7 linked regions of the Oryctolagus cuniculus genome follow. The protein of the gene in region 2 interacts with the protein of the main gene of each other region in a pairwise test. Links are inferred from orthologs where the notes say so. Each region holds a gene or a part of one and is shown on either strand. Other genes may lie near its edges. The genes, in order: APOD, VAPA, PGRMC2, OPRM1, ZBTB22, ADGRG7 and CACNG1.

Region 1 (4,252 bases), on a different chromosome or scaffold from region 2:
TGTCAGACTCAGAAAGGAACAGCAGCGGCGTGGGGCAGCGGCAGGTAAAGCGGGCGAGAGAAGCCTTCCAGCAAGCCGTGAGAGGGAAAAGCTAAACAAACAAAATCGTGTGCAGGGTTTGAAGTCTTAGGCCTCCCTGTTGGCCAGCCTGAGAGTGGGCCTGGGACCTCCACAGGGAGCGGGGCGTGTATGTTTTGGGGGGGGGGACCTCCAGGGTCACCCCGAATGGGCTTGAGTTCTGGCTCTGCTGCACAGTAGTGTCCTGGGTCTATCTGTGCCTCAGTGGCTGTCTGTGAAGTGGGACTAACACTCATAGCTGTGAGCAATCCATGAGATGACCTAGTACTTCAGTCTCAGTGCTCCGGGATCCCTAGTTGTTGTTGAAAGGCAGCTACAGATGATTGCATTATTGCATTTCCCAAACTTCCTTGTTTTTGACATTCTATTCAGAGTATTTTTCATAGACACTGGGCATTTAACCAGGGAAGGACCTTCAGCTGATGGGTGATTGTGCAGCCAAGTGTTCCAACCGGAGGGTCCTGAGGAGGGTTAGCCCGCTAGGGGAGGGAGATCATGCCCGGCCCCCAACCTCTCCCCCTCCCCCCACTTGCTGGCCTTGAACTCCTGCTTCCTCCCTTCCTTGTGGCTGCTTAGCCGGTAGCTAAGCTAAGCTGCCACGAGCTATTTCCAGCTCCTTGCCTCTCCCTGGATGAGGCTGACTGAGTCAACGCATGCACAGTGTTCTCAGATCTGAGCATTTAAAAGGCTGTGTCATAACAGGCATAATTATAACCACTTTATTACAAGCCTCGGAGCCTCCAGATAACTTTAATAATCAATAGCTTGTCTTCTGGAGGCTTCCTTGCCTGGTTTTCAAAAGAACGGTTATGTAATGAGGGAAAGCTACCAGCTGAGGCTGGTGGGGGAGGGGTGGTAGCAGAGCCCCCTCCCCCACCAGCCTCACCCCCCCCCCCCCCCAGTGAAGTCTGCCTGGCACCACCTTGCTTCCTCTGGGAGACTCCTTTTCCCCATCCGCTCCCACCACCAAATAAACGCCTCCTGTCTTTTAACCTTTTCAGGGATGATGGGCTTGCAGGAATGCAACCCAAGCCCACAGAAATCTGTGTTCATTTTCAAGAGATTCTCAGAACCTCGGCGGCTCATCTCAGAAGACCCAAGCCAAGTGCCCTGTACAGAGAATCTAACTGCAGAGGGTGGCCACTCTATGCATGTTCTGCAAGACTCCCCCCAACATGGACAGGGCCTTGGAGGGCACCTAGCCAGTCCCCCCCCCACGCTGTCTTCCAAGTGTGCGGATGGGGAAACTGAGGCCTCGAGGGGAGAAGCTGTGACTCCAGCCTCGGCCCCCGGCTTCCTCCTGTGCACGCTCCTGTGCTGTCTTTCCATGAGCACTTGCCTCTGTGACCTGAGACGAATGTGGCGTCAGCACGTGACAGTTAGAACAAAAGGCAGTTCTCCATCTGATTCTGACAAATGTCTTATTACAAAGCGTTCCTGGTGGGCTGGAACATATTCTTTAGCTCTGTGGGAGGATTTCAGAACAAGACTAATCCCCCTGATTGCACCTCTCCCAAAGATGCTTCTTGGCTGCAGTAGCTTAATTCCCATGGTCAGAGCTCCCTGTGAGATGCAGGATTGATAGCATCGCCAGCATTTTCCAATTCCCCTTCCGTGGGGGTCACCCAACACTTAGCGAGCGTGTTATTAAGGTATGCCTATGACCTTGGATGACATATAGATTGCATACGACATACACTTATATTTTTCTTGCCCAAATGAGAGCTTTAAATACTTTCAAAAGGAGATAGAATTTATTGGATATTATTTTAAATTGAATATTAAATAACTAAAAAGTAATTCCACTATGGCAACACTGCATCTATCTTGGACCAGGCACTGCCTGCGAATCTCTGCATACACCCATTGATCTTCTTCATGGTGAGGGCTTGGCATTAGTGTTTTAAGTGTGTTCTGCCCTGAGTCTCTACAACACCTCATCTGGAAATGATCTCTGCAGATATTCTCTTTGTCCTAATGGAGATAATGGCCCCAGTTCCTCCCCTTCGGTAAACCGCGAAGCCAGAATTTAAGCTCAGCTCTCCTAAGAGCCCTTGCTCTTGGTGCGTGGGGGTTTCTGTGGACACAGTCCTGTATCTCTGGGAGCTGCAGATTTTAAGGTTGCACATACAAAATAAAACATGTTGCCACAAGTAAATACATCTTTAAAAAAAAAAAACCCACTTGGCCACCAACTCCAACAAGAATGGAAGGAAATATTTCTATGCCATATTGTGAAGTGCATTTTCTATTCCCACAGTTAGTTCCAGGTTTCACTTAATTTCACTGTAATGCACAGTTGGATAACTCCATGAGAACTCATCTAGTGCGGTACTGGTGCGTGGAAAATTGTCTCATTGTTTCATTCACAAGGGGGAAGGCATAGCATAAACAGAAGGCTTGGGGTGAGTCAACATTGACTTTGGTCTTATCTTAGGCCTGATGCTTATCACAGCTGTGCCTCAGTATTGGCACCTGAAAAACAGCACTAATAATACCTACCTTGTATGTTAGTTTGAAGAAAAAGTGAGACCAAGTTCATAAAGCTACTACATAGGCCCTCGATCGGTGGTTCTGAATTTTAGTTGAAAGGGAACAATGAAAGACCATGACTGCTTCTATTTTAAGCATTATTTATCATAAATGAAAACTTAACTATGGTACATACCTTTTTTTTTCACCAAGAAGAGAGTGATGTCCACGAATTCATCCGACGTGAGATAGCTCTCTTGGTGACTGGCTTCTCCCACGTTATTTATAAGCTTCATTGGGTCATTAGGCCTTAATCTGCATGCATGCCACACCCCCTACAGTTCTGAGAGCTGGCCTAAAAGCCCAGCTCTGTATGAAACACAGATGGGATGTTGTGTCCATTCCCCTGCCCCCGGTTTCCTTCACAGCTGCTCTCCTAAGAAGAAACAAGGAGTTATTGTGTGTGCGTGTGTGTGTGTGTGTGTATGTAAATGAGACAGGGAGAGAAAGCACATTTTCATTCAAAACATCTTTTTTGCTACGTGGACTTCTTTGATTTAATTTTTTCCAGTCAGATGCACTTTTAAATTCCAGCAAGATGAGTTGCAGTATGTTTTCAAACAGCTGGTATTTATTTTTCATTTTCTGTAAATGAACAGTCAACAGTTCCCTTTTCTAATACAGAGTCTGGACTCCACCCCATGTGGTTGCTGGACCGGAGTGGGGCTCAGTTAGCAGAGAGGAGTAGGAACCAGAGCTGCTTTGCTGTGGTGTCCTGGGCAAACCCTCAGCTTCCCTAAGCCTCAGAGTCCTCTTTGTGCAGTAGAGGTGGTCACTTCTGTCCCCTCCTGAGCTGCATGTGGAAGGGAGGGAGGTACCAGCTCTGCAAGCCCAGAAAGCAGAAGGTGGCTCCGGTGGCTCCTCTTTCTGTGCCTTCAGGACCCTGCCAGCTCCATGTGCTAGGCAGCCCATCACTGCTGGGGGGGGTCCTGCAATTCACCCAAGGCAGAGTAGGCGCTGACACGTGAGAAATCCCGCAGAGCACAGGCATGCTGAAGAACAGGCGGCTAGGAGGATGAGTGCAGGGCCCATCCCAGATCCACTTCAGCAGCCTGCGGGGGAGGGGTGGGGGGACTGCCGAAGGGACTGCCGAAGGGACTGCCTCGAGGGACGTGGTAAGCATCCCGGCCTGGGGGACACAGCCTAACTGCTCAGGTACAAGTAAGGACCCCTCTGTCCCAGCCATCTGTGATTTCAGAGCGGTCCCGTGTTAACAGTGCTAGCGTGTTAGGCACACGCCATGCTGTGAATGGCCACCCGTGGGCAGCAGCGGAAGGAAGGCTCAGGGGACTGGACACGGGCACTGGGAGGCCAGGCCTGGCTCAGGTCTCCTGAGACCTCGGGGACCAGGCAGCTTGTGCTGTCCTCTCAATGATGTGACCGCCAACGGGGACATAAGCCCTGTCTTATTTCAGCGTGGGTGTCCCAAGAGGCCATTACCACGTTATTGTCCACACCGAGGGAGTGATCCGCCAGCCTCTCCTGGGAGCTCAGCGTCCTCCTCCCAGTAGACCCATGGGAAGAGGGCAGGTCTGGGGTCAAGGCCCGAGTGTGCGAGGCCCAGGCTGATGATCATGTGGCCTTGGCCTTGGCCTGGCCCCCTTCTGCCAGGTCCCAGCTGCATCCTCTTTCTGGCCCCCTG
Region 2 (3,500 bases):
CATGCTGATACAACAAGTAAAAGTCTGTGGGAAAGCCTATAAGTGAATCAAGTTATTTCGAACCTATAAATTCAAGAGATTTAAGAAACCTATCACCCATAGCCATATTTAGATTTTATTTTCATCTCAATTCAAACAAACTACAAAAAATAAAATAAAATAAAATAAAACTTTGGGCCGGCACCATGGCTCAATAGGCTAATCCTCCGCCTTGCGGCGCCGGCACAACGGGTTCTAGTCCCAGTCAGGGCGCCGGATTCTGTCCCGGTTGCCCCTCTTCCAGGCCAGCTTTCTGCTATGGCCCGGGAGTGCAGTGGAGGATGACCCAAGCCTTTGGGCCCTGCAACCGCATGGGAGACCAGGAAAAGCACCTGGCTCCTGGCTTCGGATCAGTGTGGTGCGCTGGCCGCGGCGGCCATTGGAGGGTGAACCAACGGCAAAAAGGAAGACCTTTCTCTCTGTCTCTCTCTCTCTCTCTGTCTACTCTGCTCCACTCTGCCTGTCAAAATAAATAAATAAATAAATAAATAAATAAATCTTTTTTGATGACATTTGCCAGGCAAGTTTGAATGCTGCCTGATACTAATGATATGTCAGATTTTTAATGGTGTATTAATGGTACTATCATTAAAAACTCCTTTATCCCCTCTTTTAAAAGTCCTTTGAGAAGGCTAAGTGTTTAGCCTGGAAGTTAAGATGCCAACATGCCTGCATCCCACACTCGAGTGCCTGGGTTCAATTCTCAGCTCCTGATTCCAACTTCCCTCCCGCCAATGCAGACCCTGGAGGCAGCACTGATGACTCCTGCCACCCAAGGGGAGATCTACACTGCAAAGTTCCTGGCTCCTGACCCAGCCCTATTCATTTCAGGGATTTAGGGAGTGAGCCAGGAGATGGGAGTACTCTCTTGGTTGCTGTCTCTCAAATGAATTTAAAAGTTGGAAGATATAAACTAAAATATGAGAGTGTTTCAAAATTAGTGGGAAATGGAATTAAAAGATAAGGTTATTCTAATGTGCAAATTTTTGAAATCCAGGCATAGTTTCTCCTCTCCATAATATTCTTTTTCCATCAATTTTTGAAATGCTCTCATAATTACTGATGAAATTACGTAATTTCTGGGGTTTGTCTTAAAACAGTAAGTGAGATGGGAAGTAGTGGGACCTAATGAAGTTCAGATTAACCACAAGCTGGTGATCATTAAAGTTGGTCACAGGTTCACACTACTCTTGCTTACTTTTTTCTAAATGTTTCCAACTATCTACTTTTTAAAATTAAAATGATCTTCAGAAGATATTCTCTACAATTTTATATGCCTCATATTCAAGTGGTTTGATCAGTGACAATACATACTGCTCATTAAAGCTCAGAGTAAGATATTCTCTTGAGAACTTCTAAGCTACTGAACAGTCTTTGAGTTACTAATAATATTTGCTCTGAAAAGGTTCCAGGCCCCAAACCACTACTGGTCATACACCACAGTGGGACACTCTGGAACTCCATTCAGTAATTTTTCAAGCACTAATGCAGATCCCAAACCGCTTTCTTGGTTAACTATGGATTACACCTGTATGTAGATGCATATACTTTCCTCCATGAGGCAGTAAATGGCTGGTGTCCACTTCACAGACCTATCAATTTCATCAACAACTTCTGGTTTCGAAAGCAATGAAAGTTACCCTTAATTAGCAGTATCAAATACCTGGGTTCCAGCCCTTTCAGACTAAAATCTCAAGTTGTCTGCTATTTAGAACATTATAAAAAACCTTATAAAAGATCTAACTACGTTTATCAAATTACGGTTAAAAGAAAAAAAAAGATAAGCAATTCTAAGGAAGAAAACAGCCAGACAATGTCTTAAGTTTCCCTGGTTCCAGTAAGAAGAATTATACAAGATACTGGTTTCCTTGCAATCTAGGAAAAAGAAAATTCCAAATGTGAAGTATTAAGCATGCCACATTTTCTGTTTTTGGCAAGTGCCTCAAAATGTATTTTAAAGGGCATCTTAAAAATTCAATAAACAATTTGACCAACAACTAACACCCAATACTATCAGGGACTTTTTCAATTCAGTGTACACAATATAATAACTGGGCCTGTATATTTACCTGTACATTTTCTTTTCAATAGCTCAAATGACTGCCAGGTCAAGGCAAGAGTCATGTCAGATTATAACCAAACTGTGTCTAGTAATTCTACTTGTCCACATTATAGTGTATATTAAGGCATCACCCCCTCCCCTCAAAAAAAATAATCCTACCTTTCTAAGTCCCTCCCACAAACCACAGACATGATTTATAAAAACAAATTTACAATGCAGAGAGGAACAGGAAAAGTAACCACAACCAACTCCATATGTTCATAGCCTACTGGCTAACTTTTTTTTTTTTTTTTATCTATACACCTATATCCCTCAGTTCCCCAAATGGTACTCACTCACATTCATTCACACTAACCAACAAGAAACAAAAACTATTCATTAAAGCATAAAATAAGGTACATTTTTACCTAAAACAATAAAGTAAGCAAAATACCTTGGAATATCTTAACATGGAAAATAAACTGCTTGTCCATTTAATCTTTTATCCCCCAAACTGCTGCTGGTACATAGCTGCCAAGAAGCAGTTTATAACTGTTTTTTAAATATATTTATGTATCCAAGCGTCAGTTTCATTCTAAAAAAGAATTTGAAGTGATTTAGTGGCATAAATCTGGTAGAAATAAATGTTTCTTCCCCATCATACAGCTTGTACCTAAAAGTGACATTTTTCTTCTTGGACAAACACAATGCAAAGAAAAAAAAAAGTTTTTAAAAACTCAAGTGAGCACTGAGTCTCATTAAGTACCTGAAAGGCCAAAAATAGAAGCAAATTCAATCAAAGTAACTGACAGCTCAACAACTGTCAATTTCCTTACATTTTTCTACTTACCAATTTATCATTTTCATTGGGCATTTCAAATACACATCTCAATTTAGAATCCATTAATTCATCAGGTTTTGCCTCTTTCCACTAAAATAAAAGCAAACATTAAACACAGAGGTAAGTTTCACCTCAAGGGACAACTAAAGGATGAGCAGAGCTGCTCGAAAGCACCTGTGAGAGCCTGCAGCTCCGGGGGACTGCACTGCTATCCTCTGTAGTTATCACCTTGGCACTGACATTCGCTAAGGTCACAGAACCTGTACAGAACCCAAGATCTACTACCACCACCCAGTGAAATCACACTGATATCACTGGCGGTTACATCACTTTCTTCTTTAACAATAGCACGGCTAATTATTTCCACAAAATACTACTTCAAAAATCATTCCTGAAATTCAGGATCATCTGTAATGAACAGACTAACAATGTTTAAATTTTTAGAATTAGTTTTCTCCATTGCGAACTAAACAAAACGTTTAAACAACATTCCCCAAAATAAATTCTGCTCAACTTCCTACATACTTACCACAGCTTCCATATCTGAAGTGTTTGGTGGAGCAAAAATGGTCTGTACCA
Region 3 (4,289 bases), on a different chromosome or scaffold from region 2:
GAGGTGGGTGATCAACTGCCAGAGGCACACAGAAGGGACACATGGCAGAGGGCCCAGACCCCAGCAGGCTGGGCCTCTTTATATCTTTGGTGGGCTAGAAGCTGGGGTGGAGGGCAGTAGGTGGAGGTGTGTTTCCCCACACAGGTTCAAGTTTGGCCCACTGGCTACCAAACTTGCGTTAGAACCCAGAGGGTAGGGTGGAGAATAATAGGGCGTGAGACTTAACTGGCCTCTTGAAAGCAGGCAGGAGTAATGTGACCCTAACATGGCTAAGGCTTACGTCCTTGTTCCAACACTCATCAAACCAGGTAGTCTGGGAAGGCTCAGAGAACACAAAGAGCAGACCCAACAGGAAAGAGGGCAAGTAAGTCACGTGCATGAGACAGCAGCACCAAGAAAGAAGCTTCAGGAGTGACTATGTGGGGTTTCCAGGATTTGAAAGTACAAAGGACACCCCAGGAACAAAACTGTACATAAAACTAAAGCGAGGGGTCTGCGCCCGTGGCATAGCAGGCAAAGCCACTGCCTGCAGCGCTAGCATCCCATACGGGCGCTGGTTCCAGTCCCAGCTGCTGCACTTCTGATCCAGCTCTCTGCTGTGGCCTGGGAAAGCAGCAGAAGATGGCCCAAGTCCTTGGGACCCTGCACCCACACAGGAGACCCAGAAGAAGCTCCTGCCTTCGCATTGGCACAGCTCTGGCCATTGCAGCCAATTGGGGAGTGAACCAGCAGATGGAAGACCTCTCTCTGCCTCTCCTCTCTCTGTGTAACTCTGACTTTCAAATAAATTAATTAATGGAAAAAAAAATTAAAGCAAACACAAGGACCACGCCAGCCCATCCACATCCAAAGTGCCACAGATTAGGATCCAGAGAAAAACTAAACGGTTAATCTCAAGTAAGAGTTCTACAACAGCAACCTTGAGCAAAGCCCAAGGGGAGCGGCTGCTTGGCGCCGCGCAATCGCCACCGAGACTGCCGATACCAGGGAAGTCCAGGGCCAGCTCCTCGCCTAAACTTCTGGATGCTGTCCCACCTCCAGGGCCACGCTCCCGGGGGAGCAACAGACATCTCTCATCGACTTGCTCCCAGTATTTAAGATCGCGCCGAGGCCGCCCACACACCACCTGCGCCGGCCCGCCCCCAGGGCCGCCTCCGCACACGTGAAGCGCCCGAGCGCGGCGAGAGCAAAGAGGCGGGAGTTCACGGCCGCGAACCCAGGCCTGGGAAGAGACGCGAGCCCCGCGCGCACGCGCACAGCAGGGAGACGGGGGGCGGGGGGAGCGGGCCTCTCCGAGAGGCTGCTCTGGAAAGGAGAGCGCGTGGCGCTCCGGCATCGGCGCACGCGCTGTGCCCTTGCCCCGCCCACACGCGCGTGCGCGCACGCGCGCTGTCGGCGCAGCATGTTTTTCTTCAGATCCGCCCTCCTCGTCTGTTTCACAGATCCGAGGCGAGGAGCGAAAGCGGGGAAGTGTGGGGCGAGATGGGCGGGGCGTCGCACGCGAGCGCGGCCTGCAAAAGAAGGGAGGAGGGGAGAGAGCCGAGACAACGTTACCCCGTCAACACCCAATCAGGAGGCGGCCTGTCCCCGCCCTCTCCCCTCACGTTATTGGCTGGGAAGTCCCCCCTCATGGGCGGGGCCGGCCTGGGGTTGGGGAGGGCAGGGGGCGGGGAGGAGGAGGAAGGCGCTGGCGGGCAGTGATGGCGGCGGGTGATGGGGACGTGAAGCTAGGCACCCTGGGGAGTGGCAGCGAGAGCAGTAGCGACGGCAGCAGCGAGAGCCCAGGCGGCGCGGGAGCAGCAGCGGAAGGGGGCGGCTGGGCGGCGGCGGTGCTGGCGCTTCTGACGGGGGGCGGGGAGATGCTGCTGAACGTGGCGCTGGTGGCGCTGGTGCTGCTGGGGGCCTACCGGCTGTGGGTGCGCTGGGGGCGGCGGGGTCTGGGATCCGGGGCCGGGGCGGGCGAGGAGAGCCCCGCCGCCTCTCTGCCTCGCATGAAGAAGCGGGACTTCAGCTTGGAGCAGCTGCGCCAATACGACGGGTCCCGCACCCCGCGCATCCTGCTCGCGGTCAATGGGAAAGTCTTCGACGTGACCAAAGGCAGCAAGTTCTACGGCCCTGGTGAGGAGGAGTTGGAAAGGGAGAGGGAGGACCCCCTGTAGTGCAAGCACGACTCCCCCTTCTGACGGGGAGGCCCCTGGGCACCAGGTTAGTTCGCCCAGTCTTCTTGTCGCCTGGACCCTCGCGCCTGGGCTGCCTCACCTGGGACGGCCCTCCCCCCACACGCCCCCTGCTGCGGACGCCGTCGGCTTTCCAGCAGGTCGGGGTCCCCCTGGGACCCCAGGGACCAGCTCTCAGCGTTCGTCTGTCTCCCATTCCGTCTCTCCTCGCAGCGTCTTCTTCAGCCGAATTTTGCAAAATCCTTAAATAGTTGCCTCCAGCCGAACTGGCCCTCCACCTTTCCTGAGCTTTCTAATTCCGGGGATGGGTGCGGGCTGGAGGGAGGGAAGATTTCTAAAGTAGGGATCTAAAGTTCCGGCCTTGGTAATTCACACTTTTTTCTGCCACTGATCCGGCTCCCTTTCTGCCTACCACTCCTCATAAGGCCACGTTTAGGGACACGTAATTCCCAGTCCCAGCCCTTCCAGGCTGTGAAGTCCAGACGTATAAGCAACGTCTTTTAAAACCAGTTTGCGTTCTGAGATGCTTTCCAAGATTAACAATGTATGTGGGATGAGGACCGTCGGAAAGGCAGATCTGATTAAAGATGGGCAAGGATATTCGCCCTTAAGTGTTGGGGGCGGAGCTCATATACCCAGCAGGCGCGCCTCTTTTTTTTTTTTTCTTCTTTTCCTCTTATTTCTTTTTACCTTTTTGACTTTTTTTTTCCTTTTTTGCTGGTAGGAAAGCGAATATTCAGATTCAAACAAGGTAACAATGACCGATGTTTTCAATTACCAGAACTAAGAAAAAACTTGGAAGAGCTTTAAATCCCGCATGCACCAGTTGAAAATTAAATATTTTTACAGTTTGCTTTCAGAAAAGTGTGTTCATTTCGAAGCTCTTCACAGTGTAGTTGTAGCATGCATTTCAGATCATGCTGATAAACTTCAGACTTAAGGAACCTGTTGGTATTCCATAGAATTGAGCAACATTGTACATCCTGGCTGTGCAATGATACTTTGAAAAAAGTGACTACAATAAGAATAAATAATAAAGTTAGAGACTTAAAGTGACTTGTTATTAGAAAGAGTACATCGACCCCTTAAAGTCAAGGGGCTGGCAGTCTAGGAACAAGCTCATTTCTACCTTGGTCTGATCTGTTAGGCCATGAGATTTATTGACACTTACAAAATATATTTGATTTCAGTGCGTGCTGCATGGCAGGTATTTTGGAAGTACTTTGGTTTGTCGTTTAATTGGAAGATAAGAAATTGGAGATTTTTGGTGTTAAAACTATTGAATTTGTTTCCTAGTTGTATTCCTGTTTGTTATGCATTCTGTCCAACTATAGATTGCATATAAAGTATTTGTTTTTGTTTATATATGAATACCAGATGTCTGTTCCTTGTATCAATTCAGATAATACTTATTTTTTATACTTAAGGGTATGTGGGACAAGTGAAATTTTATCTCAAGGATTTACATAGTATGTTCCTCCTAAAGTTTCTCCTGATTGATATTACAGAGTGTTCAGTGATAAGAAATGGTGTGTAGGTTTAATTTCTTAATACAGAGCTTACCCAACTAAAAGCAAAATATTAAGTGAAAGAAGTGTATTAGTCCCCACACTTTATGATTTACCACTATCTGCAGATAGTTAGAAGAGACAGTCATACACTCAGTTTGGCAGCCTCCAGTGGCAAATGTTTTGTGACAGAAACTAAAAATTAAGTGTCATAGATGTTACATTGGTTGCTTTTGTGAGGCTTGAGTTTCAAGGGGGCTATCAGATAGCAATGAGGAGGCCACTTTTTGATAGCTTCCACCAGCTCCCAGGTCCTGATGAGCAGCTTGAGTGTTATTTTATTCTAGGTATTGATCAATAACCTAATAGAAATATTTGGAATATTTTATTATTGAAAAGAACCTGCAAGGTAGCCAGATAGCTAATAGGGACTTAAAATATGTTGATGTTTCACAGTAATAGAAACTGTAGTAACACTTTACCAAAAGTCTTGAAGCCAATTCCTGGCTATGAAAGAGCTGTAAGTTCAATTTTGCTCTTATTTTCATCCTGAAATAAATTAAACAGTTTTGTAGCAAAATTATTTAGATGCAGCATGCTGTAT
Region 4 (3,954 bases), on a different chromosome or scaffold from region 2:
AGGCAGTCAGTTAAATAATATCAGATAAACTGACACAGTTTCTTCCATCCTTAGATGCTCTTCCCATCACATCATTTGTCATTGAACTGCCTAGTTTTCTGTTTCACAGTCAAATCCTCAGAGGGTTATCTGACCTTGGAATTAAACACTCAACCTACCACAGGTGGATGTTTGGGGTGACATTTAAAAGAGTACTGCATTTTTTTCAGAACTTTCAGTACAGAGAAGAAAGCATAATATCACGTTCTCAGTAAGATGCAATGTCACCATGTTTCTCCAAGTCAACAAGGAGCCAGAAGTAATGCCTTTAAAACAAACTCACCCAAGTAACAACCTCTTAAACACTGGAATAAAGCCAATCTGTTTATTTCACAGCCTATTTCTGTGCTATTGGATGTCTCCTTATAGCAGAGAATAAACTAGAGGGTGGGGGGAGGGAGTAAAATGCTAAGGAGAAGCAATGAAAGGGGATAAAAGATCATGATTCAGATGGTGGAGTTTATAGATGTCTCAGTAATTTATATCGTGTTTTTTGCTCCAGGATTCCATAGATATACATTTTTGATAATTTATTGTTCTATCATTATTACTGCTGACTAAATCTACTCTGTCAATCTAGTAGTTGGCTAATTTAAATCATGGTTTGTCATCTTAACAAACAGAAAATTATGCTAGCTAAGATTGGTTCAGTGGTATCTTTTTTCAACTTTTTTATTTATATAAAGTGAACAAATTTCATGTATACACATTTATGAGCATAGTGATATCTAAGAGGAATCATTTATATTTTCTTTACCTTTTATTCACAGAGCAAAGATAATCTGTAGTCATTCTAGTTTTATCAGTCTATGTGATTTTTAAAGGGATAAATGAGAAACATTTTCTTTTTTAAGAGTAGACCTTCAATTATACTTTTTATTGTCGTAATTGCAGAATAAGACTAGTTTTTTCTCTGATATGAATTTTTTATTGAATTACAGAAAGCAGTTTTTTTTAAAATAAATTCTTTCATTGATTCTTTTCCTGAAATTTTCCTTCTGTTGTTAGCTGTCCACTCAATAGATGGTGCTCTTTTCTCAGAGACACTTTCTTATTTTATTGCTTATCAAAGTATCAGGGAAATTAGCTTTACTTTTTAACAAACATTAATTAAAGAAATCAGGCATATAAATAGGACAAGTCAATTACAAGCAATTTGCAGCACTTTGCTAAGGAAAGCATAATGGGAACAGTGATTATTTGTTAAAGGATTCAAGTACTCCACTGAAACCTGCGAAATACTTGCTGAATAGGTGAAGCAAACACTGTAACTAAATATGAAAATGACACATTGGCTGCATACCTACAACCCCCAATGGGAAGAAACAAGCCTTACTAAGGAACTATGTTAAACAGCTAAAAATATTTGTTTACTTCTTAAAAAGTGAATATTTAGTATTCCACATTCACATGATGTGTTTGGTATACATATCAAGACCAACACAAACAACATCAATCTCATTCAATATTGAAAATTTGCTCACCCCTTGTCTAATGAAGCTGGAACATCTGGGAAACAGACAGTAAACCATAAATTCTTTCGAAATAATTTTACTAAAGACACATTTTCTTTTTCCCAGAGTGCCTATGACAACTTCCTATGTAACAGTTTCTAATGGAGAATTATGATGGGTCACTCTTCATCTGTTCCAATGTGTGGAGACACTGAAAAACAATTCTGTTCTCCTGAACCACCCTACCCACTCAAGATGCAGCTTGCAATTGCTGTAGCAGAACCACAGCTGTCAACTGCAAAGGGTGGAGGTAACAAAGTGACATTACCAGGGAGAGATACCAGGAAAACTTCCTCTGCCTCATGTGGCCTTAGGGTGGAAGCAGGAATAGGTACACGTGAAGATCAGGGGTGGGGCTGTCTACAGAGAAGTCCTCCTGTACCAGCAAAAGTAGGAAAGTTGCCACCTGAGTGGACTCAGCCTCCCAATTCGGAAAAAAACACACCTAAACGTCCTCCCCCATTCTTCACAACTTATGATGCCATAGCTCTTGCAAAGGGAGCCACCGTAGGACTCTGTGCCAAGAGTTTTCTTGTCTCTGTACAAGGGAGAGCTTCAACATGAAGCATTTTCCCCCAACTCTCACCCCCAGAGCTTTATGCCTTTTATCAAAACAGCTTCTCTGTTCCTGAATTTTTGGATTTTTTCTTTACCAGTGGAAGAAAAAAAATAGAAAAGTAGCTCCCCATCCACAAACACACACAGCAACCGCTCCATCTGGGGTCGCCCCCAACCACACGCTTAGTCTTGGGATGCAAGGGCCTTTTGGGAGCCCTTTTAGCCGCTGAACTCCCCGTTCACAGCCCTGGCGCCCTCCTTACCTGATGATCACGTACATGACCAGGAAGTTTCCGAAGAGACCCACCACGCACACGATGGAGTAGATGGCCATGATAGTGACGGCTGTGACCATGGAGGGACTGCCGGTCGGGGGGCACAGGCCGTCGCGTCCGCCCAGTTCGGTGCGGTTCGGTCCACACGGGTCGGACAGGTTGCTATCGAAGTGGGACAAATTGACCCAGGACCCGGGGCTGGGTGCTGGGGAGCAACTGGAGGAGTGCGCAAAGGGATCAGTGCAATTGCTTGCGCTCGCTGGGACGGCGCTGCTGTCCATGGTGCTGACGGCGCTGGGGAGCGGGAGGCCAGCTAGTCGGGAGCCTTGGGACTCGGACTCTGGGCGCTTCAGCCACTGGCTCTGGCCACGGCGGCCGCAGCTCTTTGCGGTTTCTTACCGGGACCAGCCTCGCGGAGCCAAAAGCAGCGTCAGGCAAAAGGCGACAGCGGAGCGTCTGACATTATCCTCTGCTGGTGGCCCCTCCCACCTTCGTAGTACACAGAGGCTCATCCCAACCCGGCACCACAGGGCTGAGGAGGGCAAGGCAGGCGGTGCGGGCTCCGCAGGCTGGAGGGGAGGAGGAGGGGGGAGGTGGATTTTGCGCAAAGCAATCGGAGGAGTTGGTCCTCACCCTTCGCGCTCTTGAGAGCAAACACCTCGAGGGCGGGCGGAGCTGGAAGGGAGCTGGAGGGGAGGGGTGGCCAGAGAGGAACAGAGCTACTTTTGATAGCAGGGAAGCATAAACGAGGGGGCTGATAGATCTCCATTTTTCCAGCGCCGGTTTCTCTTTTTAATCTACGAGGAAAGACACTGGCACGCTATAACTCTAACAGCCCTTGAGCCCCAATGCCCTTCCATCTCTATGGCCCACCACAATTATTGGAGGTAGGGGGCACAAGATCCTCTTTCCTCTACATCGCCTCATCTGACAGAAGACAATCATGTCTTTGAAATTTCCAACTCTACAAACCTGTCTGTACCCAGAGAGATCCTTTATTTATTTATTTATTTATTTATTTTCATAGAAAGGATCTCTATGAAAATAAATAAATAAATAAATAAACTTTGTGGAAGAAACCTGCTCCCTTTATTTTTCATTGTTTCAGTTTCTCTAAGAATAGATGTTCCATTTGCATCCTTCCATAGAATTAGGTAGATTGTGACATGCAAAAAAGTCAACTGAAGATATTACTGATCCACATCTGAGGTCTCCAAGACCCTTTCAGAATGATTATACATTCCATCTGCGAACATACCAGATAGGCGTATACTTTTCAGAAGAAGGCTGTTAAACCCAACAAATTTTGTTTTATTTCATTCCGTTTTCTAGTGTAGACATTCCAGGAGGAAGTACATAAACTTCTGCGCTTGGAGTAGCCCACAAAATGTTCTCGAGGAACAATGATACATTAAAAAAATTTGTATTCACTTTTAAGTCCGTGAGCTCTTCCAATTAAAAAAAATGTAAATACAGTAAGAATATTATTTGTAAAAAACCAACACTAATTCTGCAGTAATTCTCATTTCTGTGCATGAAAATATCTTTTAGCCATAAACACTGGAAAT
Region 5 (3,931 bases), on a different chromosome or scaffold from region 2:
GTGCCGGCGCTCACAGTGTCCCCGGTGGCGCATGAAGCTGTCTCGCCACATGAACTTCTTGGCGCAGACACCGCACTCGTAGGGCTTGAGGCCTGTGTGGGTCTTCATGTGCTCGGTCAGGTGGTGTTTCATCTTGAACTTTTTGTTGCACACAGGGCAGTCAAAGGGCCGCAGGTTGAGGTGCATGTTCACGTGCCGGTCCCGCATGCTCTTGTGGGAGAAAGCTTTTCCACAGTGGCACAGAAAGATCTTGTTTCCGTCCCCACTGCCAGTCCCCCCGGGGGTGCTGGCCACGCCCAGGCTCCCCGCGGAGGACGTGCCCCCCAGCGTTGTCGGCCCGTGTTCCCCTTGGCTTCCTGGTGGCTGGCCTGGAGCCTGAGAGGAGGAGGAGGAGGAGGACGAAGATGACGGGAAAACCAGGATCTGGTTGCCCTGCATGTCCAAGGGAAGGAGGGCTCTTGGGGGGTGGGAGGGGACGTAGGAGGAGGGGGTCGGCCCCCCTGAGTCGTCAAGCCCGGCCCCAGGACCCCCACCCTCATAGGGGCCAAAGTCATTGGAGGACTCACAGAAGTTGACCTGCTCCTCCCCCTTGTCCGGTGGCTCCGTCAGAGTCCGGACATCGCTTATGCTGAGGGTGGCCTCAGGCCCTCCCCCTGATGGGACCCCAGAGCTAGCCCCCAGCTCCTCATCTTCATCATCCTCACAGGTCAACACCAGATCTTCCTCCTCCTCCTCCTCTAGGTCTGGGTCTTGGGGAACAAGGGGTGCTGGTGCTGGGCAGATCCCACCCCGCTTCACATAGACCCAGTGTTTCTGCGGCACGATGCTGGGAGGGGTGTAAGCGGGTCGCCGGAGCCCAGCCCCAGGGACCACCGCACCCCTCCCATCTCCGCCATCATCACACAGCTCGTCTGCCTCCAACAGCAGCTTCCCAGAGCTGGCTCCCCCACTGCCAACCACGGGGGCTGGGAATACAGGGCCGCCTCCTCGCCGCTCCCCATTGCCCACGGCAGAAGCCGTGAATGCCTCTTGGGAGGAAGACGAGAAATCAGCGGACTCCCGGGGGCTGAAGTAGTTGCTGCTGCTGGGAGACTGATTTTCACTGGCCCGGCTGGAGGCATGGGAGCGCCCGGAGCCCACGGAGGTGGGGGCCAAGGTGCCTCCGCTCCCTGATGGGGCGCCGGCACCAGGGACAGTGACAGAGGTGGCTGCAGCAGTAGTGACGGTGGTGGTGCTGGCAGAGGCCCGGCCTTCTCGGAGGAGTTCAGTGCACTTGTCCACAATGTGCCACATCTGGAGCACGGAGCCCACCGTGAGGAAGTTGACAATGTCAGCAGCAGCCATGCTGAGGCGGCCAGTGTACGCGGAGGCCAAGACAGTCTCAAAGGCGCCGGGGTCCATGACACTGGGTAGTGAGATGGAGGTCATGCCCTTGAGTAGGACCTGGTCATGGAAGTAAGGGGAGGAGGCGGCCAGGACAGCCCGATGAGCCCGGAACTCCCGGCCCTGCACTCGGATGGACACGTCACAGAGCTGGCCCTGCAGCCGCTGCTGATTGAGGGACTCCAGGAGGGCACTGGTCACCTCGGGGAAGGACACATGTACCACCGCGGCTGCAGGCAGGGGCAGCGGGGGTGGAGCCAGCGACAGAGGCAGGGGGAGTGCGGCCCCGCTGGGGGAGAGAGGAGATGGCTCCATGTTGTGGTGGGAGGGGATACCCCCCCCAGCCACAGGAACAAAGGAAGGAGAAGGGCGGCCGGGGGGGTCTCTGGGGAGAAAAAAGAGAGAAGAGCGCTAAGACCTTAAAACGACACAGCCCTTCACCGTTTAGAAACATGTTCACACTGGTCACCTGAGTAACTCCCCACAACTCAGGCAGATATGCCTCTCAACCCATTTGGTGGATGAGGAAACTGAGCCTCCGAATGATTAAGAGATCGTTCAAGGTCACACAGCCAGCAAGTGCCACTGCCAGCAAATGCAGGTGTCCTGACTCCGAATTCAGGGCCCTTTCCTGGGAGGTTAGGGAAATACGGTGCTCCTAGGGAGTGGGGTGCCTTCTCTTGGAACTAGACCCTGTAACCCTGGGAGCCTGACTTCCCAAAATCCACCTTTTGGGTGTCTGGTGCTTTCCTTTTCGACAGAAGGCACGTCTGCCTCCCCACAGAACACCACCTCCATCTCCCCTTGCCCCCCAGTTCCCGAGGCCACGCCCCTTCCGCCCCAGCTCACCTATAACCACGCCCCCTTTGAACCTGCCTTGCGCTCCGCCCCCCTTGATCCCTTCGACCCCGCCCCTTGTCTACCCCCGCCCCCGCCGGACCCCGCCCCCGCCTGCTCCGCCCCAAGCGCTACCTCGGCCTCCTCTCCCACCCGGAAGGCGCCCCCCAACCCCGCGCGTCCCCGCTTACCGGGCCGCGCGCCCCCGGGCCCCCCCCGCCCCTCACTCGGCGGCCAGAGCTGCAGCCTGGGCCCCTCCCGCCGCCATCTTGCGCCGACTCCCTCCGCCCTCCGCCTCCGCTCCGCCTCCCGTCCCTCCGACTTTAAAGGCACAGACAAGCACCCCGCCCGTGCCGCTGGGCAATACTCGGCCGACTCGGCTGCTTTTCCTTTAAAGAGCCGTGGCCTCATCCCACCTTAAAGGTGTCAGGCCCCCTCCTCCGCCGGAGACTCGGAACTTGTTTCGGCCGAAGTCTTCCTTCCCCTTTAATTTTACCAGCCTGCCTTTTCCCATTGGCGACGAGTCCTGGCCGCCGCTCCCCAGGCCCCGCCTCCGAGCCGTGTCCATTAGCAGGTCTGCGAGATCCGAGAGTCCTCTTCCCAGCGCTGACAGACCCTCGAAGCCCCGCCCCCTTCCTCCGGGCCTGGATTGGCCAGATAACCTCGAGTCGGGCCCTGATTGGCCTTTTACTCCTACCGCTAGGAGTGAGAAAGTAAAGCGCGTTAGGAGGCCGAAGCACATTTTTTTTTAAAAAGTTCTCGGTAGCGGACACCGGGGACCCGGGGCATCAGGAGAGCGGTGTAGGGGCCAGGCTAGGAAAGGGCAGATCCGAGTCCGGAGCTCGGCCCTCAGCGGCAGACAAGGAACAGGCAGGATACAGTAAGAAAAGCATTTTATTGTTTTTAACGTTTCTGTGTAAAACTTAAGCTTATTTTTTAAAAGAAACCACCAGAAGGGGTCACTCAGTCCCCCGCCCCCGTCCCCCTCCACTGTCATCCCGGAACGAACGGAGGCAGGACGGGGCAGCTAATCCGAGTCCGAGAGCACAATGATCTCCTCGGGGTCGCACTGCGTGGCCACGCTCGTCTGCGGAGAACCAGAGGCACAGTCAGGGCGCGCGCCCGGGGAGCTCGAGCGGGCGGGACAACCAGCGGGCCTCGCCCTTACCTTGTAAGTGCTGGCCCGGGCAGGCTGTGCCGGCAGGGTTTGGGACAGCCGGGCTGGCGACGGGCTGCAGAGGGAGCTGGTCACCAGGCCATGGCTGGGAGAGTCCACCCTCGTGGAGGAGTCCGCGGCTGAGGCCGTGGAAGCCAGCGGGGAGGGTGGGCTGGGCAGGGGCCGGCTCCTCCTCCCGTTCTTCTCAGGCACGGCTCGTTCCCGGTCCACGCAGCTGGGTACGGAAACAAATTCACAGTGGGGCACGGGGCTGGAGCTGGAGGGAGTCCAGCCTGAGAGCCCCTTGGCATCCCTCTGGCTCCTTCCCTCTTCCCCCGCCGGCGCTGTTACCTGTTTCCTAAAGGCCCGGACGCTATCTGCCGGTTCTCCTTCCGAGACTTCTTACAGGGGGGGCTGGCACCTCCCCAGGCATGGGGAGAAACACCTCCATTGAAGGAGGTGGAGGTGACCGCGGCTGCCCCGTTCTCCAAGACAGTGGTGACGGGCTCCTCCGCGTGCCTCCTGGAAGAGGAAACGTCCGTCTCCTCAGGGGAA
Region 6 (4,165 bases), on a different chromosome or scaffold from region 2:
GGAGACCTGGATTGAATTTCCGGCATCCATCTTTGGCCCCAACTCATCCCTGGCTGTTGCAGGCATTTGGGAAGTGAAGCATCAATGAAAGAGTTCCCTCTCTCTAATAAAAAAAATTATATTTATGACATTCATAGTTCTCAACAGTTTCACAAATATGCAGGGCCTCTCACACCATTAAAAAATAAATTTAAAAGCAATTCATCTCTATCCCACATAGGGACCAAGTGAGAACATTCAACAGCTGCATGAGATTTGATGGGAAGAAAGCAGTGGAGTAGACAGGAGCTCAGTGAGTAGAAGGGCATAAAATGGAATAGAACAGAATGTACCCAGCAAGATGCTCTGTGTACTAACTACGCAAGGTGTAGTAGCAACAACAAACAGACCCAGTCTTTGTCTTTTTCTTTAAATGATAATGGTAACTGTCTCCTTTTCCTGAAAAAAAAAAAAAAAAAGAAAGTTTACCTGAAAACTGAGGGAGAGCTCTTTTTATAAAAAACCAATTGAATAAAGCAGAGCAAGGCAAAATGATTCTTCTAGGGGGCTAGTGTGCGCCTATCAAGATTTTCATTACTGACTATTCTTCTTTTGGGTCAGGAATCCCAAAGATATGTTTTTGTATTTATTTTAAGCAACTCCCCATAAACTTTGACTATTATAGCCTTCCCTCTCTCACCCAGCCCTCTTCCTTATGTGGTTTCTGTACTTTGGGCTTTGTTTTATCAGACTTAGTGTAACTGTATCTTTTTTTTAAAGATGTATTTATTTGAAAGGCAGAGAGAGAGAGAGAGAGAGAGAGATCGATCCTCCATCTGCTGGTTCACTCCCCAAATGGCTGCAACACCCAGAGCTGGGCTGATCCAAAGCCAGCAGCCAGGAGCCTCCTCCAGGTCTCCCACGTGGCTGCAGGGGTCCAAGCACTTGAGCCATCTTCTGCTGCTTTTCCAGGCCATTAGCAGGGAGCTGGATTGGAAGTGGAGCAGCCCAGACTTGAATCGGTGCACAAGTGGGATGCTGGCACTGCAAGCAGCAGCCTTACCCACTACACTAACAGGGCCAGCCCCGTGTAACTGTGTCTTTTATAAGTTAGGTGTCACAAGTAAGAGGAAAAGAAGGAAGAAAAGACTTCATAAATATGGACCCCTTAAATGAAATCTCACAAATTTAGCAGCCCTAACTAGGCAAAACACCTAGTTCATAATTTTTTAAATATGAATTAAACTATTTTACACAAACCTTATCCAAGCAAAATCACATTTTTCCTGAGCTTAAATTTTCTTATTTTGATTCTGACACATTTTCTACTTTTCTAAATTCTATTAATATAGTATCCTGTAAATATTGCTGTTTAGGGGAGAGGGGCAGTCCCATTCCCAGCTACCAGCACCCTATCAGCAGTCAATGGATTTGACCCCTGTTGTCCTCAGCGACGGATCTTTGCAGCCACACGTTGTGCTCCTGCCTGCTACCCCCACCCTCCTGCTCAGATGCCTGTCTTGCAGCTCCCTTGACTGGCATGTGTTACCCCTACTTACCCAGCCTCTGTAGAAACTTTCTACAGCACACCCAACGTGGAATCCCTTCGTGGAGAACCTCTGCAACCTAAGGAACCACCCTTGGGATTTTTGAGTTTCTTAGTTCCCCAGAGTTTTTCTTGAACATCCTTGTTTCATACATAACTACCCCTCCCTTGCCTGCCTTTCCCATGTCACTGCTGGTACACAGCAGGGAACCTGAAAATATTTCTTGAATCACCAGGGAGAAAAAAAAATCATTGTTTAATGATTTTAATTTTCGGGTAATGTTCTACACCTGGAAAGTGAGACATTTTGAGTAAACCATAAAGTCAGTTTACTTAGCATAAGATGACTAAGATTCTCTTTTTAAAACACAATTCCATTCTGCACGTTTGATCATGTATGCAAGTACATATGTATGCCCATAATTATTTACCTTTCTCGAATTTGCCAAACAAGCCAAAACATGTGTTACTAATGATTTTTGTTATTACTCTGCTATCAATTCGGCCAGGAGTTAAGAGCATAAAGAAGCCAATTCAACCTGCCCGCCCCCCAGCAAAGTTTTAAAAGGACCTGTTCCTGAACATATGGCTCTCTTTCTCTCCACCTCCTGATCTTTGTCTCTTGCTCTCTCACTCTCCTTCTCTGTTTTCCTTCTTCACCCCTCCCCTATAGTCTATTGGGTTTCCCCCAATAAACCCTTTTCCTTAAAAAAGAAGCCAATTCAACCATGCTATCCTTCCCCTTTCCCATTCACAGGCACACATACACCGTCATATATACAACCACCCTCCAGCCATCAAACGACTAGGAACTTTCCAGTAGTGGCAGTTAGGCAGCAGGGACAGAGGCGCAATGCCTTCTTTCTCTCTGAGATAATTGTAGCAGGAAGCCATTACCTCTCTGGATCCTGATCACCAGCCTCCAGATGGCCAGTCCCAGAACGATGGTCATCAGCAGCCCAAACACAAGGGCCACCAGCAGCCTGGGGTTGCAGGCACGGCAGGAAACCATGGTGAGGCCAAGCCACAAATCTGCTCCTTTGGGAAAGGCAACTGACTTCGCTTCTCCTTAAGTCAAGAAGTTTAATCAGAAACCATTCTAAAGAATGCAACTCATCCCTCCTTTCAATGCTCCGTCACAGGGAGGGAGATGTCCCCCTTCTTTCGGATGTTTGAGGAGGGAGTTCAAATCACCTCCTAAAAGGTGCATTGTCTGCTTGCAAATATCCTCATCCTCCAGCGAAAGAGAAAAGAGGTGAACTGGTAGTGAGGGAAAAGACAACTTAGGGCAATAAAGCAGAAGGGGAGGGGCTAGCCAAGAGGGCCAAAGGGTGAGTATGCAGCCAAGCAGCAGTGAAAAGTAAATGAGAAAAAGGAAGAGGAGACCAGGCAGGCAGTGAATCCTGGTGGTCATCCATGGCCTGGCTGCCTGTGCTTTTACTTTAAAGGATCTGGCCAAGGTAGACCAGCAGATGTTTCAGGTAACACAAATACCTTCTTGAGGATAAGCAGCAACAGCCATGTGTCATTCTGGTGTTTGTGTTTCTTTAAGGAGCCTACATTTTGACAGTTGTGGCTGTTGAATGGGTACATGGGCACCAGGTGAGTTTTGAAAGGCACTAAACCAGCCGGCGCCGTGGCTCAATAGGCTAATCCTCCACCTTGCGGCGCCGGCACACCGGGTTCTAGTCCCGGTTGGGGCGCCGGATTCTGTCCCGGTTGCCCCTCTTCCAGGCCAGCTCTCTGCTATGGCCAGGGAGTGCAGTGGAGGATGGCCCAGGTGCTTGGGCCCTGCACCCCATGGGAGACCAGGAAAAGCACCTGGCTCCTGGCTCCTGCCAGGATCAGCGCGGTGCGCCGGCTGCAGCGGCGGCCATTGGAGGGTGAACCAGCGGCAAAGGAAGACCTTTCTCTCTCTGTCTCTCTCTCTCACTGTCCACTCTGCCTGTCAAAAAAAAAAAAAAAAAAAAAAGGCACTAAACCCAGCATTAGAACCCAACTGTTGCAAACTGTAGTCCTCCAAAATTCACACGTTCAAGTCCTAACCCCCAGTGCCTCAGAATGTGGCCTTCTTTGGAGATAAGGTTGTTATAGACGTAATCAAGCTAAAATGAGATTACGAGCAGAGCCCTCTTCCGACATGGTGGGTCCTTGTAAGTAGAGGAAATTTGGACACCGTGTGCCTAGAGGATATGGAGAGACACAGGGAGAAGACAACTGTATCTATCGACTTTTCATCTCCCAAAGGAAACACCAGAGTCAAATCTCTTACGAAGAAAAGAGATTGCTTTAGCTCACGTTCTGGAGGCTCCAAGGTCAAACAGCATGGCGCAGGCTCGGCAAGGGCCACCTGGTGGCTGCATCACGTAGGGGGTGCATGGCAAGGGTGAGAGCGAATGCCCGAGCAGGCAAGTGGTTACATCTGGAACCAGAGCACGGAGAGCCGGGTGAGACCAGGCTTGCCCCGGTTGTAACAGAACCTGAGGGGTCCCCGAGAATGAAGTCTACCTTCTGAGGGCATGCCCTCCATGACCTGGACCTCAACCCTGCTTTTTTTTTTTTTTTTTTAAGATTTATTTACTTATTTGAAAATCAGAGTTACAAAAAGAGACAGTTTCCAACTGCTGGTTCACTCCCCAG
Region 7 (4,049 bases), on a different chromosome or scaffold from region 2:
CATCAAACCTCTCAATAAGCATCTGTGAAGGTTCTGGGAGGACCTAGAGTGAGTGCCTCACAGCCTCAGTGACCTCAGCCTCCGAAGCTCAGAGCAAACCCATCCACCAGTGGTCTGTGAAGAACATGCTGACGCAGCCATCCTGGATCCACCGCCCGCCATGCCGCCAGCCCAGGGCACCACAGCCAAGTGCTGTTCTGGAAGCCGGGAGCCAGCACAGTCAGGTTCTGGTGAGGGCTCTCTTCCTGGCTTGCAGATGGCAGAGAGGAAGCAAGTGAGCTCTCTGGGCTCTCATCAGGGCCCCAAGCCACCACTCTTACCAGACCACCCCCCAAAGGCCCGCCTCCAAACGCCATCCCACTGGGAGCTGGCACATCACACCACCCCACTGTCTGGGCCGCACTGTCTGCTGGAAGAGCTGAAACCAGGACAGAATCCGGTGCCCCAACCGGGACTAGAACCGGGGGTGCCGGCGCCGCAGGCGGAAGATTAGCCTAGTGAGCCGTGGCGCCGGCCTGCATTTAACTTTGTAAGTGAAAATACAGCCAGGAATCTTTATGACCTGCCTGGAAGAGGAGGCGGCGCTCAGAGCAGTTCCATAGAAACAGTGGTGCCGCTGAGTCCAGCTGTATTCTCCGGGCCTCTCTCTGTCTCTAAGGGCGGTTGTTCCAGCACACGTTCCCTAGCCCTGAACAGGGACAGGAACAGGAAGAGAAGTGAGGAGGTAGAGGTGTTCTCATAGTGAGGTCACAGTTGGCTGAGGAACATGCATGCAGATTCCCAGGCCTGGGCGGTGGGGCTGGGCTCCTGTGCGGGCTCAGGCACTGCGTGGGAGGGGGCTCCAGAGGCCCTGGGCAGAGGGCCCTGGGCTGTCCCTAGGCAAGACCCTGGGTCCCCTGACTCCCCGGGATGAGGACCCCATCTTGGCAGCTGGCTTGCCCAGTGTGAGACCAGGAAGCAGCAGGGCCTCCCCGGGGGCCCTGTGCTGGCTTAGCAGGACCTCTGCAGCCAGAGCAGGTGCATCACCCGACACGAGGTGGCCCATCCCTCGCCCCCGTCCACTCCAAGTCACTCTGTAAAGCCTCCTCCTGCCCCACCCTGGCTCCAAGAGGGGAAGAAAGCGCTGAAACCCGAGCAGACGCCGTCCTGGGCCCTGCTGGAGGCATTAATAGAAGCCTCGCTCAGGCCCCTGACGTGTCTGGCAGCTGCTCAGCCCCAGCCCGCGTCTCCCAGCCCCAAGGCCGGCCCACTCTGGCTCAGCCGGGCACACTAAACTTAGCTTCCACCCCCAGCTCCGGAGCCACGGCCACCACCCTAGCCGGGCCGCCACCTGCACGGGCAGGCGCCGCCGCCAGACCCTACCTGCAGCACCCACCCCTCTGCAGCCGCCATGTCCCCGACGGAAGCCCCAAAGGTCCGCGTGACCCTCTTCTGCATCCTGGTGGGCATCGTGCTGGCCATGACGGCCGTGGTGAGCGACCACTGGGCCGTGCTGAGCCCCCACATGGAGAACCACAACACCACCTGCGAGGCCGCCCACTTCGGCCTGTGGCGGATTTGCACCAAGCGCATCGCCCTGGGCGAGGACAGGAGCTGCGGACCCATCACCCTGCCTGGGGGTAACGTATCCATGCCCTGTCCCCTCTCTGCCTCCTGCCTGTCGCAGGTGCCCCGGAAGAGGTGCCCGTGGGAAAAAAGGCAGGTTTCTCTGCCTCGGGTCCAAGCAGCACCCCAGCCCTCCCTGCCCAGGGCAGACAGAGCTGCGCATGGCACGGCCATGTACGGAGGGCTTACGTTTCCAGCTATTAGAACATGGGGCCATGCGCCCAGAGCAGACAGCTGCACAGATGGGACAAGAGGCCCAGGACGAAGACGCAGGTCCACCAGACCAGGGCCTCTGGCTCAGCAGGGGTCACAGCCCATGTCCCCAGGCTGGGTGGCCGTGTGCCCCCAGCCCGGCAGGTTCATTGCTCAGTGCCCAGGCAAGGGTGCAAACAGGGCCAGCTCCAGGGTCTGCAGTGCCTCCTGCAGAATGAAAAGGCAGGGCTCCTAGTTTCCGGCGACAAAGCGTTTCAGGTAGGCGGCCGCAGGGTGTGGGGCGCTTCTGGGGTGGGTGTGACTGTGCAGGCTGCACCCCTGGAAAGTGGGATGTGGCAGCATGCAAGCCGGCTGCCTGCTCGTGGGAGCCCACAGACCTCCCGGAGGGGCCCCCTGAACTCAGCTCTCTCAGATTCCAAAGTGTCCCCTGTCCCACAGTGTCACCCAGCCACACGCTGCAGGTGAGCCCTCGGTCCAGGACGTGGGGCGTGAGCAAGACAGATCCCTGGGAAGAGTGTCGGTTCTGCACGTGTGGGGCCCACGGAGTTCCAGTGAGCAGAGCGTGTGCCAGGGCAGCGGGTGCTGTGCGGGGAGCGGAGGCCTGGGCCCCAGTCACGCGCTAGCCGCCTGCTCCCTAGAGGAGGCTTCTGGGCAGACAAAGCCCAGCTCAGCTCCTCCTGCTGCCTCTTCTATAAAACAGGAGACTTGGTCTCAGCCACACACGATCCCTCCCAGAGCTCACCAAGGTCCCTCCAAGGCGGCAGCCGGCCAGGCTGTGAGTGACACCGTCCCACCTGACATGCGTGTTCAGAAAGGGCGTCCTTTAAGGCGGGTGGCGCTGAGCCCCCAGAGGTCTTGCAGTCTGCCCAGCCCCTAGCCCCATGCCGCCCTTTCCTCCCCCTGCCACTTGCTCCAGGGATCCCCTGCCCCGCGTGCCCCCGGGGGGCGTGCAGAGGACTCGTAAATCCTCAGCTGTCTTGGAAACGCTGAGTCCAGGGCTGGGAGCTTTGACAGGCGTGGGCATGTGCTCATGGGCTATCGCATAGCGCAGATGCTCATGCCCTCGGCCACCGCTGAGCACGCCCGTAAACACACGCCTCCTCCAGCCAACTCCCTTGGGCAGGGCAGGGCGGGGCAGGGCGAGGCGGCTCCTCCAGGGACACTGTCATGGTCCTAGCTGCTGTCCTTGGAGCCATCTGCCTTTTAAAGTCAGAGCCGATGAGCAGGGCAGCGGGCAGAGTCCACACAAGGAAGAGACAGACTGGCCAGAGGTGACCAGGCCAGCCCCAGGGGACCGACACTTGGCCTTGAGCCTGAGCAGCGTCCATCTCTTTGGCCTCTCCACGCCGCCCCCGCCCCAGGCGTGAATCATGCACTTGCGGCACTCAGCACTGCCTTCCCTCCAATAATCCTCCCAAGCATGTCCCCCCGGCCTTTTTCCTCTTTTGCAAACAGATGTCTGCTTCCTTCCCAATGTACCTTTACCTTCCTTAATCTCCTCGGGACCACCGTTTTCTGGAGCGAGTTCATACATCTCTCATTTATTTGTTATTAACCAAAGCAACAACAAAGGCACGCAAACGTAGCACTGTGTGCATGTATTGTTGTGAATGCTTTTCCTAAATTCACTTGAAATGACGTCAGAAAAATAGGACAGAGTAAGGCATGCCTGCCCCCAAATCTTCCCCATAAAAGCCATGAGGATTCTGGCAAAAATTGACAGGACACTGGACATTAACCAAATCTCACAGAATTCCAGAAAAACAAGGGAAGCTCAGGAGGAACAGAGACTTGCCCATTCCCACGCACCCTCCCCAGGTCTGCCGTGGCTTCAACATCTCACAGTCATCACCAACATAGCAGCCCAACAGCCACTGAGGGGGACAAATGGCCAGCTTTCTTTTACGGCTCTGTTTTCAGAGCGGTCATTGTGCGACCTGTCCTGTGGCTCCCTGCAAGTCCCCACTTACAAATCGCCTCTATCTGACCTGGCTCTGAGCTCTCCAGTGCCACCAATCTTTCTCCCAGGGAGCATTTGTTGAAAACAACTGGAGCCAACTGTGTAACATCATGGCTTCTTGAGACAGCACAAAACAGTTGGTGCTAATAATGGGATAGCCCAAACGCTGGAGGATATGATGTCCGTTGGCAGCTTTGGAAAGTTCCAACATATTCCTGGGCACCTCGAAGGCCTTGTGCATGCACGGTGCTGCCAACAGGCTCAGGAGAGA

Evidence for each region.
Region 1: the proteins of VAPA (region 2) and APOD interact in binary tests that used the Homo sapiens proteins (3 or more experiments, as listed by UniProt). The two-hybrid records come from large-scale screens. The link is inferred for Oryctolagus cuniculus from reciprocal best matches to the Homo sapiens genes VAPA and APOD.
Region 3: the proteins of VAPA (region 2) and PGRMC2 interact in binary tests that used the Homo sapiens proteins (3 or more experiments, as listed by UniProt). The link is inferred for Oryctolagus cuniculus from reciprocal best matches to the Homo sapiens genes VAPA and PGRMC2.
Region 4: the proteins of VAPA (region 2) and OPRM1 interact in binary tests that used the Homo sapiens proteins (3 or more experiments, as listed by UniProt). The link is inferred for Oryctolagus cuniculus from reciprocal best matches to the Homo sapiens genes VAPA and OPRM1.
Region 5: the proteins of VAPA (region 2) and ZBTB22 interact in binary tests that used the Homo sapiens proteins (3 or more experiments, as listed by UniProt). The two-hybrid records come from large-scale screens. The link is inferred for Oryctolagus cuniculus from reciprocal best matches to the Homo sapiens genes VAPA and ZBTB22.
Region 6: the proteins of VAPA (region 2) and ADGRG7 interact in binary tests that used the Homo sapiens proteins (3 or more experiments, as listed by UniProt). The two-hybrid records come from large-scale screens. The link is inferred for Oryctolagus cuniculus from reciprocal best matches to the Homo sapiens genes VAPA and ADGRG7.
Region 7: the proteins of VAPA (region 2) and CACNG1 interact in binary tests that used the Homo sapiens proteins (3 or more experiments, as listed by UniProt). The two-hybrid records come from large-scale screens. The link is inferred for Oryctolagus cuniculus from reciprocal best matches to the Homo sapiens genes VAPA and CACNG1.

Annotation. Positions count from the first base shown.
Region 1 is NC_091435.1:84,039,770-84,044,021, reverse strand, and holds the start of APOD (apolipoprotein D precursor), read right to left. Parts: upstream 2,801-4,252; 5' UTR 2,748-2,800; intron 1-2,747. UniProt on the Homo sapiens protein: APOD occurs in the macromolecular complex with lecithin-cholesterol acyltransferase. It is probably involved in the transport and binding of bilin. Appears to be able to transport a variety of ligands in a number of different contexts.
Region 2 is NC_091441.1:67,108,054-67,111,553, reverse strand, and holds part of VAPA (vesicle-associated membrane protein-associated protein A), read right to left. Parts: coding exon 3,451-3,500; intron 3,012-3,450; coding exon 2,931-3,011; intron 1-2,930. UniProt on the Homo sapiens protein: Endoplasmic reticulum (ER)-anchored protein that mediates the formation of contact sites between the ER and endosomes via interaction with FFAT motif-containing proteins such as STARD3 or WDR44.
Region 3 is NC_091439.1:36,456,585-36,460,873, forward strand, and holds the start of PGRMC2 (membrane-associated progesterone receptor component 2), read left to right. Parts: upstream 1-1,489; 5' UTR 1,490-1,700; coding exon 1,701-2,118; intron 2,119-4,289. UniProt on the Homo sapiens protein: Required for the maintenance of uterine histoarchitecture and normal female reproductive lifespan. May serve as a universal non-classical progesterone receptor in the uterus.
Region 4 is NC_091436.1:13,656,068-13,660,021, forward strand, and holds the start of OPRM1 (mu-type opioid receptor), read right to left. Parts: upstream 2,801-3,954; 5' UTR 2,668-2,800; coding exon 2,375-2,667; intron 1-2,374. UniProt on the Homo sapiens protein: Receptor for endogenous opioids such as beta-endorphin and endomorphin. Receptor for natural and synthetic opioids including morphine, heroin, DAMGO, fentanyl, etorphine, buprenorphin and methadone.
Region 5 is NC_091436.1:135,808,029-135,811,959, reverse strand, and holds the start of ZBTB22 (zinc finger and BTB domain-containing protein 22), read right to left. Parts: upstream 2,801-3,931; 5' UTR 2,789-2,800; coding exon 2,637-2,788; intron 2,526-2,636; exon of another isoform or gene 2,412-2,525; intron 1,769-2,411; coding exon 1-1,768. Other genes in the region: DAXX (death domain-associated protein 6), read right to left, coding at 3,248-3,307, 3,389-3,611, 3,728-3,931. UniProt on the Homo sapiens protein: May be involved in transcriptional regulation.
Region 6 is NC_091435.1:55,159,989-55,164,153, reverse strand, and holds the start of ADGRG7 (adhesion G-protein coupled receptor G7), read right to left. Parts: upstream 2,801-4,165; 5' UTR 2,538-2,800; coding exon 2,423-2,537; intron 1-2,422. UniProt on the Homo sapiens protein: Orphan receptor.
Region 7 is NC_091448.1:13,144,179-13,148,227, forward strand, and holds the start of CACNG1 (voltage-dependent calcium channel gamma-1 subunit), read left to right. Parts: upstream 1-1,249; 5' UTR 1,250-1,390; coding exon 1,391-1,619; intron 1,620-4,049. UniProt on the Homo sapiens protein: Regulatory subunit of the voltage-gated calcium channel that gives rise to L-type calcium currents in skeletal muscle. Regulates channel inactivation kinetics.